Mytilus edulis: one gene and its partners. The protein of the gene in region 3 purifies or fractionates together with the protein of the main gene of each other region. This does not show direct contact. Links are inferred from orthologs where the notes say so. Each region holds a gene or a part of one and is shown on either strand. Other genes may lie near its edges. The genes, in order: ribonuclease P protein subunit p30-like, ribonuclease P protein subunit p29-like and ribonuclease P protein subunit p40-like.

Region 1 (8,153 bases), on a different chromosome or scaffold from region 3:
CCAAAAAGACAGCACTGAAGGATCTAAATTTTAAAATATTTGAAATTGACAGAGTAAAGTAGCTACAAAATGTACAACAGAGTCTGAATATTTAAACATCGCGAACAAACGGCCGTTAAAATGTAATAATAGTTTTTGACTAAGCCACGTACTTATACATCCCTCAAAAAATTAAGCAATTTAAATTGGTATCTTCAACAAATTTATTTAATAAATGAAAAAGGTTAAGAAAAAGAAACAGAGACTGTAATAATAAGTAATATAACCCAAATGTGAAGCACTACACGGAGTCGAACTACACCTTTTAATTTATCCCATTTGGTGCCAAAGTTATTAATTTTCTGATCCAAAATCTTTCCAGAGCAAGTCTATCCTCCTTAGACCAAGCAGAGTTGTGGTCAATGATTTTAATGGTCAGTCGATTGAGATCTATATATATATACTATTGAATTAATTAAACTTACTAATTTTTGTAGCTGTGCAACATCTTCCATTATGGTACTAAATCTTGATAACTGTCTGAATTTTTTTGTTCCTGCCTGAAAAGCAATGTTTATATTATCATAATTTCCAATTCTGGACTTTAGTGTCATCCTGTTTGTAACTTTCTTGAGCCGACTTTTTTTATAGTGTAAAAACATACAGTCTAGATAGATATTTATAAGAGGTTGGTGTATTCTTAAAATGATTTCAATTTGAATCCACCTAATTTCGGAAATGATGCTTGTAAGGCCAAATAAAAATATATGTGTTGTTCCAGTAACCCTACCGTCCCTACTTTTTCGGCTTAAAAATAGCCTACCCTAAAGATTTTATTGTCATTTTTCATTAAGCACTGTTAAAGTCAGAATGTTAGGCTACCTGGAATATGCATTGATCAAAGTTTTTTTTTTTTTTTTGTATATCTGTTGTCTTGTAGTGGTTAGGATTTGGTGGTTGATGTGATCTGTTATATTATTTATTGGTGATTTATATTCCACTTTTAATGTATTCATTTCATTCTTAAGGACATATTCTTCTGAGGTTTGAGTCTCCTTGAAATCTCGTTCAGGAACTATTTCCTAAACATGTGATACTTGTAGAGGAAAATATCAATGAATTTTAAAAATATTATAATCAAACATAACTCTGTGAAAAAATTGTGTATTTATAATGAATGGTTTTTGTGTAATTCAGTTCTCAAATTTTACGATTAATCAAGTCTGACAGTCTTTCTAGCCAAAATTTTGAGAAAATGGGTGAGGGGTACAAAAAATGATTTTACAAGAATCATGTACATCCCATATCATTTTTGTCTTTTCAAATTTCTTAGACACATACTTGAGTGTAAGGAAATCTTAAATAATTCCAGAGCAGCAGGCAACCAAAAATGAGATGTCTTCACAGAATTTCAACTAAATATCTCACCATGATATTCTTTAAAGTTTCTGCATCAACTTTCAAAGTTTCTGGTAATGGAATTGCATGCTACACAAAGGAAAAAAGAAAAATAAAGTGTAATATAAAATAATTATAGAATAGATGTTGCTTCTGACAGTGTGCTATGGGAAACATTCATATGATATGCATCTGTTTCTGAACAATGCATAAACATTACAAAATAGATGACTGTTATAATTGCCAGTTAGAATTGGTGTGTTTCTTATCCTTGTTTTGAGTTTCATCCAATTTTGGGTGTTTTTGTTTGCCCTTACGTTGCCGTCTCATTGACGTAAAAGCTTCTTCTTCTTTTAAACATATAAATGCTTTAAGCATATGGTAAGAATCAAGAATGTGTTCCTAGCAATCAAGTTCTTTAAAATCTTAAGATAGATTATTCATATTTTTCAACATATAGCAAACATTAAAAAATTGAGATACACTAATTATCACATATATATTTACATTGATTGTAGGTTGCTTTACGCTGTATTAGCACAACAAGGCTATGTCGCAGCGAGACATATTTACATGTAAATGATGCAAAAAAGAATCATTTCTCAAATCCATCATTTTCTAACAAGAATCTATATATTTTATACATATACAATTGTTACTGTCTACACATGTGTGTATACATATCTATACAAATTTATTACAGTACTTACATAATCTTTGTCTTTTTTTTTTTTCTTTACAATACTGTCTATACTTGGTGCACAATGATTTACAGCAGCAACACTATAGCCCACTGTTAAAATGTTCAAATAGACACATTGCCATATTATTATATTTCAAAGATTCAGAAGTTAACAATAATATATTTGTTAAAAAATTAAGAGCTGCCATATTTCATATGCTGGTCCTTGGTCAATGTTATAAAAGATAAATGATGAGGTCAAAAATCTTGCAAATGAAAGATGCTGGGTAGCTGTCTTATTGTCATTTTTTCATTTATGCTTTTGTCATGTTTGTTCTGATGGATCAATATATATTCCTCTTTGACAGGTAACCCATGCCTGGTATATTAGCTAACATAGTTTAACATTGTACAATTTTTAGGCCAATATCACTTATCAAAGGTAAACCATTTTTGAGAATATGGGACAACATCATTACCTTTTGCTAAGACTGTAAAATATAATAAAATAAGGAGGAGGGGGGGGGGGGGGGGGGTCTGTTATTCTGTAAACATTTAATTTTCACCCCTTTTTTTCTCTAATCTTTAAAAAAAAATAACCCCTTTTTTCTCAAATCTTCAAAAAATTAGACCATGCATTTCTCTATTCTTCATTTTTTTGCCCGTTACTCTCTAATCTTCATTTTTAAGGGCATTATTCTTTAATCATTCAACCCCATCCAAACCCTCATATATATATGTATCAGTCTTATCTCATACAAAGCATGCAAAGTAAAAATACACTGACCTCTTATTTTTTATTCAAAACATTGAAAGACACAGAAATTAAGAAAAGGGAATAATGGGTCGAAACGACTAAGGCCGAAGTGGTGTATGGCCAAAACGTCTCGAAAACATAATTTATTTGGACTAGGTCGGGACAACTGAACTGGAGTAATGTTGCTATGATTTCATAAACACACAAGTTTTGCCAGAGAAGAATCTTATTTCTTATTTTGATTTAACAAGGATATGATATTTACATTTTGCTGCCATAGCAAGTGTTTTGGCTAAATGTTGCTTCTCGCTAATCTGCACGTTGAAATCCATGAAGTTAGCCATTCCGGAAGTCACTATTGCTTATTTCCCCTTCTCATACAAATTTACTTCCGGAGTTAGTAACCACGGAAATTGTAAACAGTGGGTGCCTGAATTTACATTAATTGGTAACTTTAGCTCTTTATGATAACACAAATGTCCCATGAATAATTCTTTTGAATGACTAATTTGAATACTCATAAAAATTTGAAATCATGCAAGTAGTTTCTGCTTTTTTCAAGCTAAAATTTGAAATTGGTTTACCCTGAACTGAAGCAGAGACATAATATGAGGCAGGCATTACCTGTGAATGGGGACGAAGTCTGTATGATTTTTTTTTTGTAACTTTTTAAAATATTTGTGAAAAAAAGAAACGGAAATACCGTAACGTTTCCGATTTTGGTTCTGTTGTTAGGGATTTTACTTGTGACGTTATTTAAGTTATGACGTCATGTTCAATGTAAACAAAATAACGCAATGCATACAGTAACGTTTATTCATATCAAAGCCAAAGAATGATTAAAAATTAAATATTGGTATTGTGTTCCTTGATGAGTTCCTATATTTTACTAGACTAATCAAAGTCTCACGACAACAAGACCGGAAAAAGGAAGTAGATTTCTGCGTTCTGCGCAGATCCGGAAATTAAAAAACATGACAAAAAAAAATTGAACGAATTTGAGTTCATTAGTCATGTTAGTACAATAAAAAATTTCGGGAAAATTTTCCAGATTTTAAAAAAAAAAATTTTTTTTATTGATTTTTCTACTGTTATTGGGGCCCATATAATACAATTTATCAAGTATTATTTATTTAATATCCTTTTTAAAAAAATTTAAATTCAATATCAAATTATGTCTCTTTTTCGATAATATAAATAATACAAATCAAAATTAAATGACATTGAAATGAATAATTATGTATGAACTCAAATTATTTAATTTTAATTATGTTAAATTTAACATAGTCCGAGATTACTCTGACGTCCAACGACTGTTTTGCCAGACAAGCTGGGGCTGTAGGACAGATTGATGCCCGATTTATATAATTCTGAGGCCGTCAGTCGGCACCTAAAGCGACGAAGCAGTGCATCTATTTTGGGTGGGCAAATATCCACTTTTTGATATGGGACGGGCTCTGACGTCCCACGGCCCCAGCTTGTCTGGCAAAACTGCTGTTGGACGTCAGAGTAATCTCAGACTAAATTTAACACTGAAACAGTTAATTTATGCTTACACATTCGCCCTTACTTCAAGTACTTTTAATACTTTGATAATGACTCTATTACCCAAAGAGATCTCGCGAGGTTTAAATCTGGCAGTGTGATATTACGGGATTTTGCCGAGTTGCCAATCTCTTGTATTATACATGTATGTCTCTGCCTGAAGTAAGGATTTGTATACAAATCCTAACATTAGGTAATACATTAATGTCCTACATAGGTTTGTTTGGTACTTTCCTCATAGTAAACGCAGATATTACTTAAATAAAATTAATTTATTTATTAGCATAAACGATAGTTAAATACACTTTTGAAATTACTCAGATGATGATCAAGGATTTGTATAATGAAAATATCAGCATGAAAACGTTAAATAGTGAATATATAATGCGAAGGCATATACTATAGGACTAGGATTTGTATAGTAAGAAATCCTTGCTCAGATACTATGCGACAGGTACCAACTACAAATTTAAAGCCAGAAATATCAACAGTAAGAGGACACAATGAACGATTCCTAGTTCCTTTTGCCAGGACTCAAATATATTGTCACTCATTTTTCCCAGATACCATCAGAATCTGGAATGGACTGCCACAACACATAGTTAGCTGCACAACCCTTGAATCATTCAAAAGGGGTGTGCAAGTGTCCGTCCAGCTTCGATAGTCGATAGATGTACAACCTCGTTTTTATCGTTATTTTAAAGATAAGCACCGTTTTCACTGTAAATAATCCGCACTTACTCGCACATTTGTTGTTCCCAAATCAAAAACATGTACATAAAACAGTACGATAATACTCCAATGGAAGGCCTGTACTATAAAGGAAGAAGAAGGTATTCTATGAAATGATCTCTTGAAGGTTACAAATTATATTTTTATGCCCCACCTACGATAGTAGAGGGGCATTATGTTTTCTGGTCTGTGCGTCCGTTCGTCCGTTCGTCCGTTCGTTCGTCCGTTCGTCCGTCTGTCCCGCTTCAGGTTAAAGTTTTTGGTCGAGGTAGTTTTTGATGAAGTTGAAGTCCAATCGACTTCAAACTTGGTACACATGTTCCCTATGATATGATCTTTCTAATTTTAATGCCAAATTAGAGATTTTACCCCAATTTCACGGTCCACTGAACATAGAAAATGATAGTGCGAGTGGGGCATTCGTGTACTGAGGACACATTCTTGTTATTTTCTAAAAGTAAAAAGACAACTTTTTAATTGAATTTCATGCATTTTCTGTAAATATCATATGTCACAATACACCTTTTTGCTTATTATGATTTGTATGTCATTACCATGATTACTGAACTTTACAAAGGTTTCTTTAAAATTTGAGGTCATAATAAAAACATTTGACGTTACAAGTAACAATGGAAAAGATATTGTTGAATGATGTGATTGTCAATAGTTCAAGGTGTGCAGATTCTAGGGTCAAGCAATGGTCACACAGATTTCCAAATAGGGATAAGGTCTATGCTTGTGCTGTTAAAGTCTCAGTAATAATGTTTTGTTCTGACACATCTTTCATGTTTTATTACCTGAATGTCATTGATGCATGGTTGTTTTACTTATCATGCTAATAACCAGGGCCTAAAATACAATATTGTTTGTTTCCCCAATCCTGACTGACCCTGAAAAATATTATTTTATTCATTTCCAATTTGAAGGATTGTGGGATCGACCGATATTGTTCCAGCTTTTTGGAAAAAGTTAAACGATTTCCCTACCTTCATGTACTTACCCACACCTGGCTTGGCAGGATTGGGATTGGGGAAACAAACAATATATTAATTTAGGCCCAGTCAAGGGTACTACTTGTACAAGTAATTTTTATTTACTTGAAGAAGTAAATATTAATATGCTTATAATGAATTTATAGGAAACTTATACAAGTGTATTTTATTTTAAAACTTGTATAGGTAAATAATTTTTTGGCTGAGCAACATGTACATGTATGTAGCTAAAACTGTGACTTACAGATCAATCACATATCGAGACACATTGTACACACATGTGATATAAATACTGCAGTTGTAAATAACAATTTCTAATAGATACATGTATGTGAATCAAATGGTCCATATTGTTCATTATTCCCAACTTTTTAGGAAACAGAGTTCATTCTTTGCTTTGATGCAATGAATCATGGGAAAACATTAAAAAAATCATAAGTCTGATATGTACAGATTTTAACAAAAATGAATGGATATTGTATTGTATTGTATAGAGCAGCTGCTAGGGTACAAAAAAATGTACAAACAAATCCCATTGGAAAACAGATTTCAAGGAGGTTTTAACATGGTAAAACTGATGACTTCATGTTTTATATGGTTATATTTTAGAATTAAAACAAAATGGCAGACTCTCCAACAGGTGCCCCTTCTCCTGACACAGATGCTTCAGGGAAAAAGTCAAGTAAGTAGTTATTTAGTTCAAAAGTTTAATCTGACTAAAAATATTCAATTTTTTTTTATTTCAAAAGTGACACTTTTAAAAATTCTTTCCTATATAAATTTTGATCATAAACATGGTAAAGACATAGGACTTTTTCGTAAACAAGATTCCTTAAACAAGTTATGATAGAATATAAATTTTGGAACAATAGAATTTAGCATATATTTGAGCTTTTCTAAAAATAATCTGAAACAGTTTTAAGAATGCTTAGAGTAACTTAGATTAATAGTAACGTTGCAATTTTGTCATTAAGAATAAGATACAAATTCATATTGATATTTAAAAAGTCATCTTCTAAATTAATAATTAATGATACATGTACATAAATTAATTTCATTTGACCTTTACCTATTTACAATAAAATAATGCAGATAAGCTTTCTATCCAGGTTTCCTTTGTCCACAGACCACTTTCAGTTGACACCTTATCTATCAATTGGAACTCAAGTGGATTATTAAGTTGTCTCATTGGCAATCATACACGAATACCATCTGCTTATTTTCATAATGTAGTGACGTATTTCGTGAAATGATTTAGTGCAATGAACATTTAGTTATTGTGTTGATATTAAAGTTATGAATATTTACTTGTAGGAGTGGATGGTTCAAGACAGTCAGGCAGAGTAACATTCCCAAATTCAGCAAAATCAGGATCAAACAAATCTGTTTTGTCAGGTACAAATGTTGATTTTTATGCCCCACCTACGATAGTAGAGGGGCATTATGTTTTCTGGTCTGTGCGTCCGTTCGTCCGTCCGTCTGTTCGTTCGTTCGTCCGTTCGTCCCGCTTCAGGTTAAAGTTTTTGGTCAAGGTAGTTTTTGATGAAGTTGAAGTCCAATCAACTTGAAACTTAGTATACATGTGCCCTATGATATGATCTTTCTAATTTAAATGCCAAATTAGAGTTTTGACCCCAATTTTACGGTTCACTGAACATAGAAAATGATAGTGCAAATTTCAGGTTAAAGTTTTTGGCTTCAGGTTAAAGTTTTTGGTCAAGGTAGTTTTTGATGAAGTTGAAGTCCAATCAACTTGAAACTTAGTATACATGTGCCCTATGATATGATCTTTCTAATTTAAATGCCAAATTAGAGTTTTGACCCCAATTTTACGGTTCACTGAACATAGAAAATGATAGTGCAAATTTCAGGTTAAAGTTTTTGGCTTCAGGTTAAAGTTTTTGGTCAAGGTAGTTTTTGATGAAGTTGAAGTCCAATCAACTTGAAACTTAGTATACATGTGCCCTATGTGATATGATCTTTCTAATTTAAATGCCAAATTAGAGTTTTGACCCCAATTTTACGGTTCACTGAACATAGAAAATGATAGTGCAAATTTCAGGTTAAA
Region 2 (7,769 bases), about 16 Mb from region 3:
CAGGAACATTGTAAAGTATTATCAGTTCTATATACATGTACATACGACTAGTTGAAATACATGTACATTGTCATGATTTAGACATCAGCAACATACAGGTTTTAAAAAGTAGAACCTCCTAAAGACCTAAATAAGAGCTTGATTCCCTAACCTGGTAACATTTGATCACCCTTCATAGTTTTTATGCACTTGATGCAAACACAAATTTATAGTTAAAGTCATAAGAAACCTCAAATCAAAAAAAAAATGCATATGTTTTTTTATAACTCAATGGATAGTTTTCATTATTAAACTTATGTACATATACTTTTTTCTGAAGAAAATTCTTTAATTTATTCATATTTAGAAGAAGTTTACTTTATTTTAATTGCTTCCTTCCAGGAAGCAATTCCCCGACATATTTTCCGTATGCAAAGTGACCTCAGTGTGACCCATCTCGTAAAAATCCAGTGATCACAATACGAATGGATGTCCTTAAAATAAACTATTATCTGAATTTACATGTTAAACACGTGCTCAATTTTGTAGATTTTTGTCGATTGTTGACAAACACTCACTCACTGAGGTGACCATCGTTAAATTTCAGCTTCAAAACACGAACTTTAGTTACTTGCCATATTTTCACAAAAACACTGACCGATTGAAAAAAAAATTGACAATTATACGAAACTTACACGAAAAAAATGATAAATTCGTGCACAGAAGACTAACTTAATGATGTTTGTATGCATTGGTTCAAGAATTGGACAGTCAGAGCTCAGACATAAATAAGTCTGAATCTGCTTTTGACTCATAGAGGTCTAAATTTGTATGTTTTAGGATTTGTCTCCCTTTAATGCTAGACAAAATACGACTTAAATAAGTCAAATACTGTTAAGCAAGAAATAATTGACCAGAATCAAAAAGTTGCAAATGTCGACTCCTACAAGTCGATAAGTTATCAAAATTGGTTAACTTCAAGACCCATGCATATTTATAAAAAAATCATGCATCTAAATCAAATAATGACAACATTGAAGGACAATGCTTTGTCTTCTATAGAAAAATATGAATGAGAGTCTAAAAAATTGGAGATAATGTTAATTAACCTTACAAAACAACCACCTGGAACCACACTAAATAAGGTAAAACATCTGTGCTTAGTAAGGATGTTCAATTAAATAATTAAATATAGATAGCTCAAGTCCTTGTGAACTCTCAGACAGGTTTTTGCTGTCATAGGTGGAGTACTTTGGCCACCAAGTAAAATTAAGTTTTTTCATCAACATAAATAGACCTACATGTAAACAAGTCTGTCTTTTTCTGACTTAAATAAGTCTAAAATTGAAAACACATACATTGTATTATAATAAATACATGTTTTGACTTCTTTAAGTCAAAAACAAAAATGGACTTGTTTATGTCTGAGCTCTGATGGAAGAACATTTTTTTTCACCGGTCACTCGTTTCTTATGACTTTAAGGCCAATAATCTTTAATAAGAGACATCCAATGATTTCTGTCATTTTTGAATGGCTTGTAATTTTACAAAATGTACATGTATATTGTATTACAAAGTCACCTGTAGTTTACAGAAGAATGATCATGATCTGATTTGGCAATCCACTTCCAAATATAAAAAAAACTGTCACTCATAAAAATACATTTAAGTCAAGGAGGCAAGCTGTGAAAATAAATTTCCTTACAAGTCTTACAAGTTAAGAGAATCCAGATCTATTCATCCAACTACATGTACATGTTAGCCTGAATATTTGTTTACTCTGGCATGGGTCTTTCCCCTTGATTTTATTTTATTCTGTTGTCTTGTTGTACAATGTTAATTATTTGAATAAAGTTAAAAGAGGGACGAAAGATACCAAAGGGACAGTCAAACTCATAAATCTAAAACAAACTGACAACGCCATGGCTAAAAATAAAAAAGACAAACAGAAAAACAATAGTACACACGACACAACATAGAAAACTAAAGAATAAACAACACGAACCCCACCAAAAACTAGGGGTGATCTCAGGTGCTCCGGAGAGTATGTTAAAGTTTGTTGGACATTTCAGCAACTTTTGTCTTGTATCATATATAATACTATTGGCAATACTATAGTCTATTGCTGCTACCAAATAATTAATTTCCTTTGATTTGCACAAAAGCAATAGATAACTTTTGAGTTTGATGCATTTCCTTCAAAAACTTTGGTTTCAGTGAACGTCACTCGTGCATTTAGGGGTGTCATCGATTCCGTTCCAATGTTTAGCAAGTGGTTGGAAAACTATAAAGCTATATTGCATAAATTATTCGGCAAATTAAATTCTCATAATTGACAATCAGCACCACCACATTAGGGAATTGTGATTTTAAAAGTAACTACTGAACAAACTATGTTCAAAAATGTGTTGCCAGAGTCACACTAAGAAAGACTTCCGGTCAACTTTTCGGTAAAAATGCATATTTTAATAAATATTTGTTTAATGTTATCTTATAGCCTATTATAATAGCTTTCAGAATCAGTTCTATTTATTGATTTAGCTTAAGCGGTTCCACAGATATTAGTTATAATACACCCATTTTTCACTTCCGCGTTTTAGACCTTCCCCTAATTTTTCATGAAAAAAAATTCTGATGTCAAAAGCATTTACACATGTTCATGATTTAGCTTAACAACAAATTAATTTTGCTCTTATGAAATTTGCTCTAAAGGTTCATGTGGACCCTATGGCTAAAATGGCCGTATTTTCACCTCAAAATTTACTCTGAGTACAGACAAACCTGCGCATCTGTAAAAAATTTCAGGCATAGCATGCCCTAGATAAATAAATTTCAAATATGTTTTATGTTTTAGAAAAATAAAAACTTACCAGGATTTTGCCGTGCACTTTTTTTCATTCCTCCAGAGGGTGCCAAAATAAACTAAGTTGGGAAACAGGTTTGAGAACTTCCCCACAGGTAATAATTGAAGTGAGCTGTATTGCTTGACATGGACATGAGATGGACAATAGATACCTGACAATAATTGGTTATTTAAACTGTGTACCTGAATGGACCATATCAAGGTAAACTCAACTGTTTGTTAATTTTGCAGGGACGAAAAAAAGTGTACAGCAAAATCCAGTTAAGTTATGAATTTTCTAAATCATACAATGCATTTGAATTCTATTTATCTAGGGCATGCTATTAATATAGTCTGCTAGTAAATAAACATGATAAAAATTAAAATGTCCCTCATAAGGAAGAAAACTAAATAGGAATATTTAATTACAGGGTCAATTATGGGAATTGGGAATTAGATTCCAGATCTTCTACTTCTACACAGGAGTTGGTTCCAGAGAAGCTCTACTGTGATAGTCGAGTTCGGTATATTTTAAACTGTTATTAGGATTTCAAACTCCTGTGACTTCTACAAGATAATGGACATACTATACAATTACAACAGAGACTAATCATAACTTTCTTTCTAAATTTTAAGATCACTTAAAAGACATATGAAACCCAAGAATACTTACACAATGTATCAAAAATATTGAACAATGTTGTCTTGGGGAACGTGGAGATATGGGGAATGACACTCCAAACTAGGATCAATATTAAGGTGAATCTAAATACCTAATAATGAAGAAAAATAGATGTGGACAAAATTAAATAAAAGAAAAATATGTGAAATATCTTAATAAACTATATTATGCAAGATACTGACCTCCAGTCCATTTGTTTAATCATATATTCATGTATATGCTTAGCAGAAGAGAACTTAGTGTTCTAAAGATTTATTTAACTAATGGAATCCTACACACCAACTCGCCCCACTTTGAAAAAATCGCCCCGCACCAACTCGCACCAAACTGGTTAACCAACTCGCCACATGTAATAAGGGTTAAATCCTGTTAATTTAAATCTGCTTGAAGTTGGTCAAGTTGTCTACGTCAAAGTAAGAAATGTTTAGTCAAAATTCAAATTATTTTATAATTTTGATATATTTTTCAATATAGTTAGATAAGCCAAACATCAAATTCTAAACTATCGATGATTGTTACATCCGAGCGAATTGTCAGGGAATATAACCGTGTCAGATAACCGTTCCCTTCTCAATGAAAGTATTGATCAGTATTAAAAAGAGAAAAGAAATCAAAAAGTCTACAAACAGTGTTTATCTGAAAGCATAATATTTACCCTTTCCATAGGTAGATTTCCAAGTTAATCCAAAAAAAATGTCACATTTTATGGACTGCTCTTTCTAAATATACCTTAGAGTTTGGACGGCATTTTCAGTCTTAATATGGGCGATTTTTTTTATTGGAATCACCACATATCAAAAAACAACGAAAGTCCTCATTGTCGTTAGAAGAATTGGTTCGAATTTGATTCTGTTAATGAGTTTATATACGCTTAAACTCCCCAATGACATACATAACTAGTATAGTCAGGGCAGGGGCGGATGCAGGAATTTTGTCTTGGGGAACGTGGAGATATGGGGAATGTTACCTGTTACCTTCTGTAAATCCCTCCTCTATCAGGAGAACCTGGAGTTCATCCAGTAAAATTTTGTTGCCTTATATTTACATCTGTTTCCAGTCACTATACATTTATCTTTAAACAATTTTATCTATTTACAGCCTATGAGTTTGGTAAACCTTACAACTTTTAAATGTTTATTTACTTTCAAGGAGCACACTACGCTTTTCATGGAGCGAGTAACACAGGCTTCTAGTGATTGATTCCACCAAATTTATGTCATTTTTCTCTAACACATGATACCACTCGAAACGACTACAGTCCAAGATTAATTGTATCATTTTCGAGTTACTAACGCAAATGTCAGTCCATGCAACGGTTCCAATCTTTGGTACAATAACTGTATAAAGCTTTGAGATAAAAATGTCTCTAATACTTGTTAAGGCAGAGCATACGACAAGAAAATGTTCTAAATGCTCAGTTCCTTCCTCACATAGCGGACAAATTGAAGTTTTTTGACCATTTGAAAATTTTGAACGGTGGTACTGTAGAATATATGTATCCAATAGCATTTTGATCTTATAACAGGCTTTACGTATACACATTTGTTCTGAACCAGCACTTTTCCATATAGAATTAACAACACCAATTTTACAGTTTTTGATATTTAAGTACCGTAATGACGGTTTTGATTTGGCTTCAGTAAACAGTTTTTCGGACCAAAAGTTATCAACACACTTTTTTACTTTCATTTTCCACTTGTATTTTGTCTCTGGTTTAAGTAAAACTTCTGAGGCACACGGCAAGTTATATTGTTTCAAAATCTTGTCAGCCCTAATAAACCAGCTTTTAGAGTTTTTTCCTTTTGTAGACAGTTGACGCTTAGCAAGATCATTTTCGACAGAGTCACTTCTGGCAATGGTACCAAACGTTATCAGAATCTTTTTGTGTAGAAGTGCAATAATAGGTAATTGACCTAAAAGTAGATAAGCTCCAGCGTTGGAGGCTCTAGCAGGTAAATTTTGAATTTGTTTCAAAAAGTTATTACAAAAGATATCTAAGCGGGAAATATCTTTAGCACTAAGATTTACAATTTCAAGTCCAAATAACAAACGTGGAACCACATATGTTGACCAAAGTTTACATGACACCTCTGGATTAAGTCCATTTAAACCATGTAGTCCTGAGCCCATAAGTGCGTATGAAGTCTGTCTTGCAGTTTTTAAACGATTTCCAATAATTGTTCTTGTTGCCTCTACTTCACGGGAGTCTCTATCAATACCAATATGTTTATAATTTTCTACAGTTTCTAATGTTTCTGAGCCAATGTGAAACTTTTCCATTTGATTCCAAAGGTTGCAATTCAAAGATGAGTTCCATATCATAACTTTAGTTTTTTCCTTACTTATATTATATTCTTCTGTCTCTGCAAAATGGGAAGTATAACTAATCATAGTCTGGAGTTCATCAGGTTTTGAAGAGATAAGTAGCAGATCGTCTGCACACATTGGAGTACCCACAAACACATTACCAATTTTAAAACCCAAACTTTCACTTTCTAACTTTTTTATTAGCGGATTAACGAAAAGTTTGTATACAGAGGGAGACCATACGCTGCCTTGACGGACGCCTTGGAGTTCAGCAAACGAAGTAGATAACTTGCCTTCCCATCGAACTGCAGAGCTCATATTCGTGTACCAGTCATTTAAGATTTGCCAACTTTGTCCAGATATTCCACTTTTAAATATACTTTTTAACAGAGAGGCATGCCAAACAACATCGAAGGCGGATGACGCATCAACAAAAGTAGTAAATAATGTTTGTCCTAATTCTTTTGCTTCTATGATTGCCTCAGTCAGGGGAAGTGCTGCAAAAGTAGGATTGACCCCGGCAGTAAAGCCACGTTGAAGTCTGCTCTGTACCTTTAGTAGTTTAGGTTCCTCTAAACAAAGATGTACCGATTCCATCAATTTTCCCATTACAGGAGAAACTGTTATACGTCGATAAGATTTTGGTAGGCAGATAGGTTTTCCATGACCTTTGAACAACGGTGAAACAATACCTTCTTTGAAACACTGTGGTACACGCTTAAATTTAAATGCTTCATTTATCAAGTTTGTAAGTATTTTGGCTGTTTTTTCACCTCCATATTTAAAATGTTCAGCAGAAATTCCAAATTGGTCAGTAGCTTTCCCGGTTTTCATTTTAGAAATACATTTTTGAATTGTTCCAATATCAAATTCAATAGTTTTTTCATCTTCATGTTCCAATATGTCTTGAAGCAAAATACGGTCTAGCTCAACTTGAGAGCGGTACTGTTGATTCTGCGGTTTTTCAGACGGAGTAGATAAATCAGTGAAATAATTTGTCCATGCCTCACGAATAAGATCAGGTGTATCAAAATGAACATCATCAATGATCAGACAGTCGAGTAAGCGTTTTCCACTCTGCCTCTGACGGCGAATAATTTTATAAAATGTGGCATTGTCACCAGAATGAGCATCCATAATGTTCTGATAGAGAGAATGTCGCTCTTCTGCATTCAATTGTCTTTGGAGTTTTCTAAGTTCTCTTTTCATATCGAGACGTTTTCTGTTTGCAGGGTCGTTTATGTCAGACGGACTCCCAAGAGATTTCCATTTCCAATGTGCATCCTTGCTTTGTTTACAGAGTTGTTGCAGCATAGAGTTCCATGAACGTTTCCTTTTTCCAACAGAAATTGTTGGTGCACATTCAAAGGCGGTTGTAGTTAAAATATTAAAAAGTTCTTCACAGCTCATTTCGATAAATGAGAAAATACTATTGTCAATAAACATATAACTAAGTCTCTGATGAAGTAATTTTTCATATTTTTCATTGTCAAGTTTTTTCCAGTTCACTTTCTTCAGTGTTGAAATCGATTTTCCAGACTTAGTAGTTCTTGTTGAAAAGAAACATGACAAGGTTGCCTGCACTGACCTATGAGATGAAGTGTTAAGCGGTTCATCTATCATGACTTTTATATCTGAGATTTTATCTATTTGAGTTGAGGATATGACTATATAATCAATCTGGGAAGATTGTTTCCCACCGTGGTGGTAATATGTATGCTCTTCTGGGTAGTCCTATGGCACGGACAGATGTTTCTCGTTCAGAAATGACTTTAAAGCTTTATCTTGGCGATAACCCTTTGACCTATTCACACTGGCATTCATGTCACCTAATATTATAGTTGTTGAGTTACTATACTTTGTCATAATTTCACCTAGTTCGTCCAAAGTACTTTCAAATAAATCCATGGAATAATTTTGACACGGCATATAAACACAATACAAATTAAAATCTAAAAT
Region 3 (8,825 bases):
ACATACCTTTTTAAATCGCATATGAATAAGAGAGTTCTGATTCCAGAAACTTGGGAAGTACAAAATCAGGTACTTCAGATTAATCAGAGAATCCCTCTTTTTAAAATTTGGTGCAGTTTTTTTAATATTCAAAATTAAAAGTCCAAACGTGTTCTAAAATGCTCACCAGTCCTTAATCTTTCATTTGATACCAACAATACCTAAATATTCTACATATTTTGTAAGTTACACTCATGCGTAGGAACTATTTTGTGTTAAATATGTACTACTTTCTGGTATGTGCTTTCTGGCCGGGCCCGAATTAGTGGTGTTACACCTATAACAGAACCAAACTTGCTATATTGACTTGAGCATTACTTTTTTTCATTCTATGATCTATTTCAAGCAATAAAAAACATATAAAGATAAGTCCAAATACTATTTTTACTAATTTTAAGCTCAAATTTGACTGGTAGCTAGTAACATATGGGGTATTCAAAGAAAACTGCATATGGATATTACCAATGGCCAATATACTTTTTTTATTTTCAATATCATTGTTTTATTTATTCATTTCTAATAGGAAAACTATGTGCTTACCAATAGCCTATTTTTATCAGAGGTCCCTCATTAAATAAAAATACATTAGTCCAAACTTAAGACATAAATGAGAAAATTGTCCCCCCTTTTTTCTTTAAATTGGAAAAGGGCTTTTTTTGGAATAAACCATAATTCTGTGGTAAAATATAGATTATTTAGAGCAATTTATATATCCCTCAGCTAGATAACTTGCTAAACTGGTTCAAAATTGCATGTACAGTGAGATTTTAGAGCAGGCACACCTCTTTTGTTTTAAGTTCAAATAAATTGGCAATTATTGCATTTCAAAGCAACACTTTATGGTGTCTTGTACTGAAAAAATCAACATACCTTTAATGGCATATAAGAAAGAACTGGTTCGCGGAAATTAGGATGTACCAAAACAGGTACATCAGATCTGACAAACAGACAAAATGTACCCTCTTTTTAAAAATTAGTGCAGTCTTTTTATTATTCAAAAATAAAAGTCCAAAAGTGTTCTAAAATGCTCACCAGTCCTTAATCTTTCATTTGATACCAACAATACCTAAATATTCTACATATTTTGAAAGTTACACTCATGCGTAGAAACTATTTTGTGTTAAATATGTACTACTTTCTGGTATGTGCTTTCTGGCCGGGCCTGAATTAGTGGTGTTACACCAATATACAACTTTCGAGTTCGATGCATTTCCATCAAAAACTCTGGTTTTAGTGAACGTCATTTGTGCGCTTAGGGGCGTCGTCACTTCCATTCCAATGTTGAGCAAGTGGTTGGAAAACTATAATTCTATATTGTACGAATTATTCGGCAAACTGAATTCTCAAAATTGACAATCAGCACTGCTGTCATTAGGGAATTGCCATTTAGTACCTACAGAACAACCATTATTTCTAGTTTATCCTGCACAATGAAATTAACTAAGACGCCTGATGAACCTAAATAGTGCAGGGATACAGACGACCCCCTCTATCTGGTAAATGACATCATAAAGGCAGGCATAATTGACGTGTTTCTGCCGGTGATGGATGAACTCGAAAGTGGTCTACTAGATTGCATTATTGTCTCCTTTGACATGTTTGATATCATTAATATATTTATTCACCCTATAAATAAAATATTCTTATACCTAAACTATAATTCTTTGATTGAAAAAAATCATAACTTCAGTGTCAAAAAAATCAGTAAGCGTTTAATAAAATTATTTACTTATAGATATAAAATAATTATTGAAATTTCCACATCCAAACCACATTTTTAGACTTATGTTTATAATTTGACTTTTAGTTAAAAGTTTCTAATTTTCAATGACCTATGCAGATATAAAACTGACATCATTTTCTAACTTTTCTACTGACCTATTCAGATGAAATAATGACCAATGAGATGTTCAGACTTCCCATTGACCTATATAATACTGACCAATGCCATGTCCTACCTTTTCTAATGACCTGTACAGATATAATACTGACCAATGCCATGACCTGCCTTTTCTAATGACCTGTACAGATACAATAATGACCAATTCTATTTTTGGACTTCCCATTGACCTATATAATACTGACCAATGCCATGTCCTACCTTTTCTAATGACCAGTACAAATATAATAATGACCAATTCTATGTTTATACTTCCCAATGACCTATATAATACTCAGACCAAATGCCATGTCCTACCTTTTCTAATGACCTGTACAGGTATAATACTAACCAATGCCATGTCCTGCCTTTTCTACTGACCTATTCAGATGAAATAATTACCAATTCTATGTTTGGACTTGCCAATGACCTATGTTATACTAACCAATGCCATGTCCTGCCTTTTCTAATGACCTGTACAGTTCAGCACTGTACTTGACTAGTCTAGCTGAAGGAACATCATCTCTCAATTGACCAATTAAACCAACAGAATGCCATGTTGTTCCACATGTATATCTACAAAAGCAAGAGTTAAAAAAAGAAAACCTTTTCTACAAATTTTACCATGTTCATCACATTTTACATGATTTTGGCAGTTATCTTGGTTATGTTAAATTCAAGTAGTTGATTTGCAGACTTAATTGGTCTGATATTATTGCCTCCTCAAAGTTAAAGTTTTTTTTAAATATTACAGTAATATTTTAGCATTCACTTCCGGTGTAGGTTATTAAAGTCCCCTGAACTAGCAATATACAACATAATTTCACCCTCTCTCTGCTAGTTGGTAGCTAGCTATAGATGTCTCAGTTACACCCCTATTAATGTTACAATATCCCCTGACCCACTGTAGGCTACTTACTTCCCCTGCTCCAACAGTACAACATCATTCCAACCTCTCTCTGCTAGATGGTAAGCTATAGATGACCCAGTTACACCCCCACCACATATCACCACACGGGCATGCTTTGGCAAATCAACAACTGTCTTCAATGATTTTGATGCTTCGTTATTGTTTATACAACTTCTGTGGAAAGCTCTGTAGAAGGCATCACTTGTACAGCGTTTGTGTAAAGGAACTTTTAAATAGCGGATTAAAGACATACTTGTTGCTCAGTCTGTTCAAGTCATTTTTAACATCTTATAACAATCCAGTTTGTCATTAGTGATACTAGATATTACACTGACTATGTTAACAAAGCAACTTTATCTAATGCATATCCTGGGGTCTACCCATATCACCAGGGTCATCATCTAGGACGAAACTATTTAAGATCTAAAATGTAAATAAACAACGTTTATAATATATACCTGAGGTCAGAAAATGATAATGGATAAAACCTACATATAAGAGTCAATACTCCTGGCCTAGATTTAAAACTCATCGCAAATATTTTGATCTATTTCAGTTAATAAATTGTATTCATATCAAGATTGTCACCTCATCAGACCTTCCTTGACATTAGACAAAATGTTAGATGTTAAGATGTTTATTATGATAGAGATTAAGCCTCATAAGCTAAAATTCAGCTAAAATCTGGTTTTTATATTTTAGTTTCATCAATCTATATATGTCAAGGATATACGATTTTGTAGTTACTTTGACAAACAGACTGATTAAAATAATTCACTTCTTGTCAGAAATGTTTAAAAAAAATTACAGTTTAGAAAAAAAAAATTAAAACTCTTGAAGGGATTTATATTGCCATCATCCCTCTGTTGATAGTTAACTTTACACATTAAATTCAATAATGTTTATTGAACCATTTTATACAAGTACATTTATTAGAAATTAACAAAACTTGGCAGGTACATATATTCTTTTAAGTAAGCTGATTCTACCTTGTGTATGTGGATTGAACTACAGTTTTGATGAAGTTCACTACAAAAAGTGCCACTAAAAACCTCTAGGTATGCATCTTAGGACATAGAAATTTGTAGAAATTGAGAATACCTTCACACAAATATACTTTCTATTTGCCTGAGCAGTTGAAATGACTGAACTCAATAATATTATTGAAATAACAAAAGCAACCTGCATTATACAACGTTATAAGAGAATTTATAACATTGGTTGCAATGAATTACATTGATTTCCCAGTTAAATAAAAACCGATAATTTCACATGTGAAATAACAACTATTTCACTCTCTGACGTCATACAACAATTGGCGTTGTCAAGACATCAATAAGGGGGGTCAAAACAAACTGTGAATGCATAGGGAAAAGATATAAATGTAGTTGCTTACATGTTTTACATTAATTTCTTTAAAAAAAGCCATTTGCCAATGTAAGAAAAAGAATAACTAATTAAAGAATTCAAATATCTAAAAATATTCAACTTGTGACCCAACAACACTGATAATTAACTCATGGGCTGCGCAAATTCGGAAATTAATGTGAATATTAATGACATGGACATGATTTCCTATATATATATGTAACTGAATTTATTATAGGATTTTATAGCTAGGACATGATTTCCTAGGAAAATTAGTCTGGGGACATAGATTACAATCCCCGGACTAAATATATTTATACTAGTAAATTTTGTAACCATGTACTATTTTTTTGGGGACGAAGTCCCAAATTACGGTTGAAAAATCAATAATAAAAAAAAAAATTCAGGAAAATTTCCCCGAATTTTTCATTCTACTAATGAACTCAAAATCCTTAACTTTTTTTTTCAGATCTACTTCCTTTTCCGGTCTTGTTTGCATGAGACTTTGAATAAAATGTATATAAATTCAACATTCAATCATTTTTGATAATTGTTTGATAGGAAAAAAATGTTACCTGGATAACAGCGTTTCTTTGTTTACATTGAATATGACATCATAACTTAAATAACGTCACAACTAAATCCCTAGCAACAGAACCAATATCGGAAACGTTACGGTATTTCCGTTTCTTTTATCAACATGATTGAATTAAAAAAAAAATAATACAGACTTCGTCCCCATTCACAGGTAATGCCTGCCTCATATTACAGACTTCGTTCCCATTCACAGGTAATGCCTGCCTCATATTATACATATTACTAGTAATATTTTTTCAACCAGACATATTTTACCAGGAAACTTATCACTTAAATACAATTACCATGATTACAGTCATGACAGTTAATGTTTTCCTTTTGTTCTGTTGACAAAGTCTAACGTTTGATTTTGTACGTTTTCATGGACTTTCTCTTTTAGATTTTCAATGAAGTATAGTATTATTGTTTATATTTTCATACAGGTCAAATTGAAATCATTTCTTTACACACTCCCAGTGACTCTGTGTGACACTCAAAAAAATACAACCCTACACTTTCCTTTGTCTCAGAGACAAAGATGACAAAGTTGATTTTCAGAGCAAAACTCATGAATAAAACTATTATTGACTTACTGTTTAACACTGAACTATATATAATACAGAGAGGTTTAACTAATATTGCTGTCTGCTCTTTTTACAGTCTCATGGAGGCATAAATTAAGGCATGCGAATTCTGGGCTCAAAAAATATTTTCATATGTCTAAAGAACAAAAAAAACAACAAAACTTATTCTTAGATTTGAGAATATGTATAATTTTTAATTTCCTGTAAATTATTAGTAATTTTACATTGTTGATAAAAATATGAAAACTTATTTGTAAGCAATGTTCCGGTCTTTAGGTAATTCCGAAGAAAATGGCTGCGCCCATAGAGAAAAGTTTACCCATAGGAAAACTTGTTTTTGAAAAATCCAGCTTTAAAAATGAAAAGTCTAAACATGAGGAGTTTATAGAAGATCATCATTTCAATTATGCAGTATGTTGACTAACCAATAAACACACCAGCACATGTTCAATGTTAGCTGGTCAGATACAATGTAAAAAAAAAAGGGGGGAGGGGGATTTAAGATGGACAAAAATGCTGTTTTTACACCTCAGAGTACAGACTAACCTGTGTAGTTGGAAGAGTTTGAAGGCCTGGCATCCACCAGATTGAATCCTGGTTTGTTGGCCCTTATGTACAATCACCCTGGCACACATACATGTATTTGTCCGCCTAGTCTGAATAATTAGGCCTTTCAAGATGTATAATTATTTGGACTACTTTTCGCCCTAATACCTGTATGGCCAGGGTCCAATCTTCATGCCTGCCAAATGTCACTATTTGCAGGGGATTTCCAAAACAAAAGTTCCCAAATGAAAATTTTTGAAGAGCAATTGTTGAGGGGGGATAGGACCTTTATCAGGACTCTGGGATCGGGTGTTTTTAAGCTCTGGATTTCGGGGTCCGGGAATTCTTTTTTTCAAATTTCGGGATCCGGGATTTTACTTAATTTAAATTCGGGACCTCGGGATTTCGTGTTTTAAGCCCGGGATTTCAGGATCAGGACCCCTCCTACCCCCCCTCATTGTTTTCCACAATATAAAACGAGGCATTGGCTAGGACGGTTACAATACATGGGAATATTATTGTTACTTTGGAGACTAATTGCCGGAATGCAGGGTTGGGCATAGGCACTAGCCTTCTGTCAATAGTAATAAAATTTTGGCAATGGGAAGAAAATAGTGTCCATGGCACATGCACTAGACATGCTAAAGGTTTGTCTACGGTTACAAATTGTGTTATTGTTTCATTAAAGCACTGCAAAGAAGTATTCATGGGACTAGTAATACATGTATGTACACTTTTTCCATGGTCGGGTTGTTGTCTCTTTGGCACATTCCCCATTTCTCAATTTTACATTTGTATTAAAATCTGATATTTACAATATTTCATACAATTTTTTAAAATTTTTATTTACATTGAACTACAATTTTACGAAAGGGTTTTCTCATTGACGAAAGTATTTCAAATCAATTTCGCCACTTTAATTTTTAAAGTGTAAAAAAATTTCGCAATAAAAACTATAAATCTACCTGTCTTCATGTTTTCGACAAGTTTATGACCTCCAGGTAATTAACATTTTCAACAGGTGTTACAAGTTGTGATTACAACTAATCCGCTTATCTCCATCGGATGGGTCACTAATCCGTTAATTATTAATAAACCCCATAATTGAATGACCATCATAATTATTTCACCAGGAAGATCAGTCACTCGGCATTTCAACAACCAGGAGTATAGTTTCGTCATTTAATAAAAAAATATAACAACCCGGACAGTTCGCATTTGGATTTCAATATTTCTCAAACGATCACAATTTGAATGTCGTTTGTCGTAGATTTGTCATTCGAAAGCATTTTCGTCATATTTGATTTAAATTTTCATCAAAAACTTTCGGCAATTTCAATTTAGAATAAGGAACTTTAATGTGTTTATTCAAAACTTGCACGAGTTAAACAGGTGCTTCCTGTATTGTGATCTAGGCATGCGTGAAAGTATTCCTTTGACTATTTATATACATTAAAAACGTAAAATACGCAATCATTTAGAATCAATTAAATGAAAGAGACAAATATATATCTCTTACCAAAGGAATTTAAATCGAAAAATGTTAATTTTCTGATGAATCCGGACTCATTTTGAATTTATTATCCAGGTGTCACTTCCCGTTTTCGTTTCATTTTAAAACCGAAAGTAGTAAACGTGATCTATTGTTGATTTGTTTACAACCTCCTTTCAGTCATTATAATAGTTCCACAAAGGATTTTACACATTTCCAACTTGATAGAAATGATTTCCAAAAATCGATTTAGACCTTTTATAAGGATTTTGATTATGAAGTGAAATAATCAGTTCAAGTTAATTTCTGCTGTGATTCCTTGTTTAAAAAAAAAAGAATCCATCTTTTGTTGATCAGGAATGACCCCTGGAACAAACTGAAGAGAAATTGTGAACTAAATTTCTGGATTCCATTTCAGAATCTTTCATAATAATGACCAATACAGTCAACATGGTCAAATCATACAATAACTGCCAATCATGCTGGTGCCTCAATCCCTTAAAATCTGACAAAGTCAAAAGATGAAGCTAGTAATATACATCATTGGTCCCTTGCTTTTACACAAAATAAGGTTGATTTTAATAGAGTTCAAAAGTGACTAAAGCCCTCAAAATCCTAGCTTAAACCCTGCAAATCCAGTAAGTTGTTTTTGGAGCATATTTTAGTCCGATGCATTTTTAATGAAATCACTCTAAGCAGCCATGCAACACCAACCAGTGATGTGGCAACTTGCATGCTCTGTATTCCTTACCGTACACCAACCAGTGATGTGGCAACGTGCATGCTCTATTCTTTACCGTACACCAACCAGTGATGTGGCAATGTGCATGCTCTGTATTCCTTACCTTACACCAACCAGTGATGTGGCAATGTGTATGGTCTGTATTCCTTACCCTACACCAACCAGTGATGTGGCAACATGCATGCTCTATTCCTTACCCTACACCAACCAGTGATGTGGAAACGTGCATGCTCTGTATTCCTTACCCTACACCAACCAGTGATGTGGTAACGTGCATGCTCTGTATTCCTTACTGTACAATTCCATTCTGCACTATCTCATTTTGCCATGCTTCAGTCATGTCAGTTGGAAAATATATTTGTACTCTTGCGATATTTTTTTTATATGAAGCATGTGAGGTTTTTTATAAATACATTTCAATTGTGAAAGTAATTAATGTTGACATGGTTGACATTTGCCTACAGGTTGAAACTGGTGGAAACAGTGATTTTCATTTTCAAAGTCCAGATGCAAATGTATTTTGGGATTGTAATTTCGTTCTTGTTGGTGACAGTACATGCTCTATTGACACAAATGATTGAACAGTTCATGTATTCATAAATAGTGTACATGTTGTAGTAGTATCTTTAAGAACATCTAAATAATTGATACTATTTAAACATTATTCGTTTTATAATTATTACTAATAC

Evidence for each region.
Region 1: the proteins of ribonuclease P protein subunit p40-like (region 3) and ribonuclease P protein subunit p30-like purify together in Homo sapiens (affinity purification with mass spectrometry; 3 studies listed by BioGRID and IntAct, counting the BioPlex papers as one, with this or other methods). This does not show direct contact. The link is inferred for Mytilus edulis from reciprocal best matches to the Homo sapiens genes RPP40 and RPP30.
Region 2: the proteins of ribonuclease P protein subunit p40-like (region 3) and ribonuclease P protein subunit p29-like purify together in Homo sapiens (affinity purification with mass spectrometry; 3 studies listed by BioGRID and IntAct, counting the BioPlex papers as one, with this or other methods). This does not show direct contact. The link is inferred for Mytilus edulis from reciprocal best matches to the Homo sapiens genes RPP40 and POP4.

Annotation. Positions count from the first base shown.
Region 1 is NC_092344.1:62,972,292-62,980,444, reverse strand, and holds the start of ribonuclease P protein subunit p30-like, read right to left. Parts: upstream 3,202-8,153; 5' UTR 3,161-3,201; coding exon 3,082-3,160; intron 2,171-3,081; coding exon 2,088-2,170; intron 1,468-2,087; coding exon 1,408-1,467; intron 540-1,407; coding exon 465-539; intron 1-464. Other genes in the region: cilia- and flagella-associated protein 100-like, read left to right, coding at 6,707-6,767, 7,400-7,480. UniProt on the Homo sapiens protein: Component of ribonuclease P, a ribonucleoprotein complex that generates mature tRNA molecules by cleaving their 5'-ends. Also a component of the MRP ribonuclease complex, which cleaves pre-rRNA sequences.
Region 2 is NC_092348.1:15,791,770-15,799,538, forward strand, and holds the start of ribonuclease P protein subunit p29-like, read right to left. Parts: upstream 3,599-7,769; 5' UTR 3,495-3,598; intron 1,627-3,494; exon of another isoform or gene 1,561-1,626; intron 1-1,560. UniProt on the Homo sapiens protein: Component of ribonuclease P, a ribonucleoprotein complex that generates mature tRNA molecules by cleaving their 5'-ends.
Region 3 is NC_092348.1:202,168-210,992, reverse strand, and holds the start of ribonuclease P protein subunit p40-like, read left to right. Parts: upstream 1-5,637; 5' UTR 5,638-5,647; coding exon 5,648-5,767; intron 5,768-6,557; exon of another isoform or gene 6,558-6,608; coding exon of another isoform or gene 6,609-6,626; intron 6,627-8,825. Other genes in the region: pyruvate dehydrogenase phosphatase regulatory subunit, mitochondrial-like, read right to left, coding at 2,364-2,494, 2,838-3,079. UniProt on the Homo sapiens protein: Component of ribonuclease P, a ribonucleoprotein complex that generates mature tRNA molecules by cleaving their 5'-ends. Also a component of the MRP ribonuclease complex, which cleaves pre-rRNA sequences.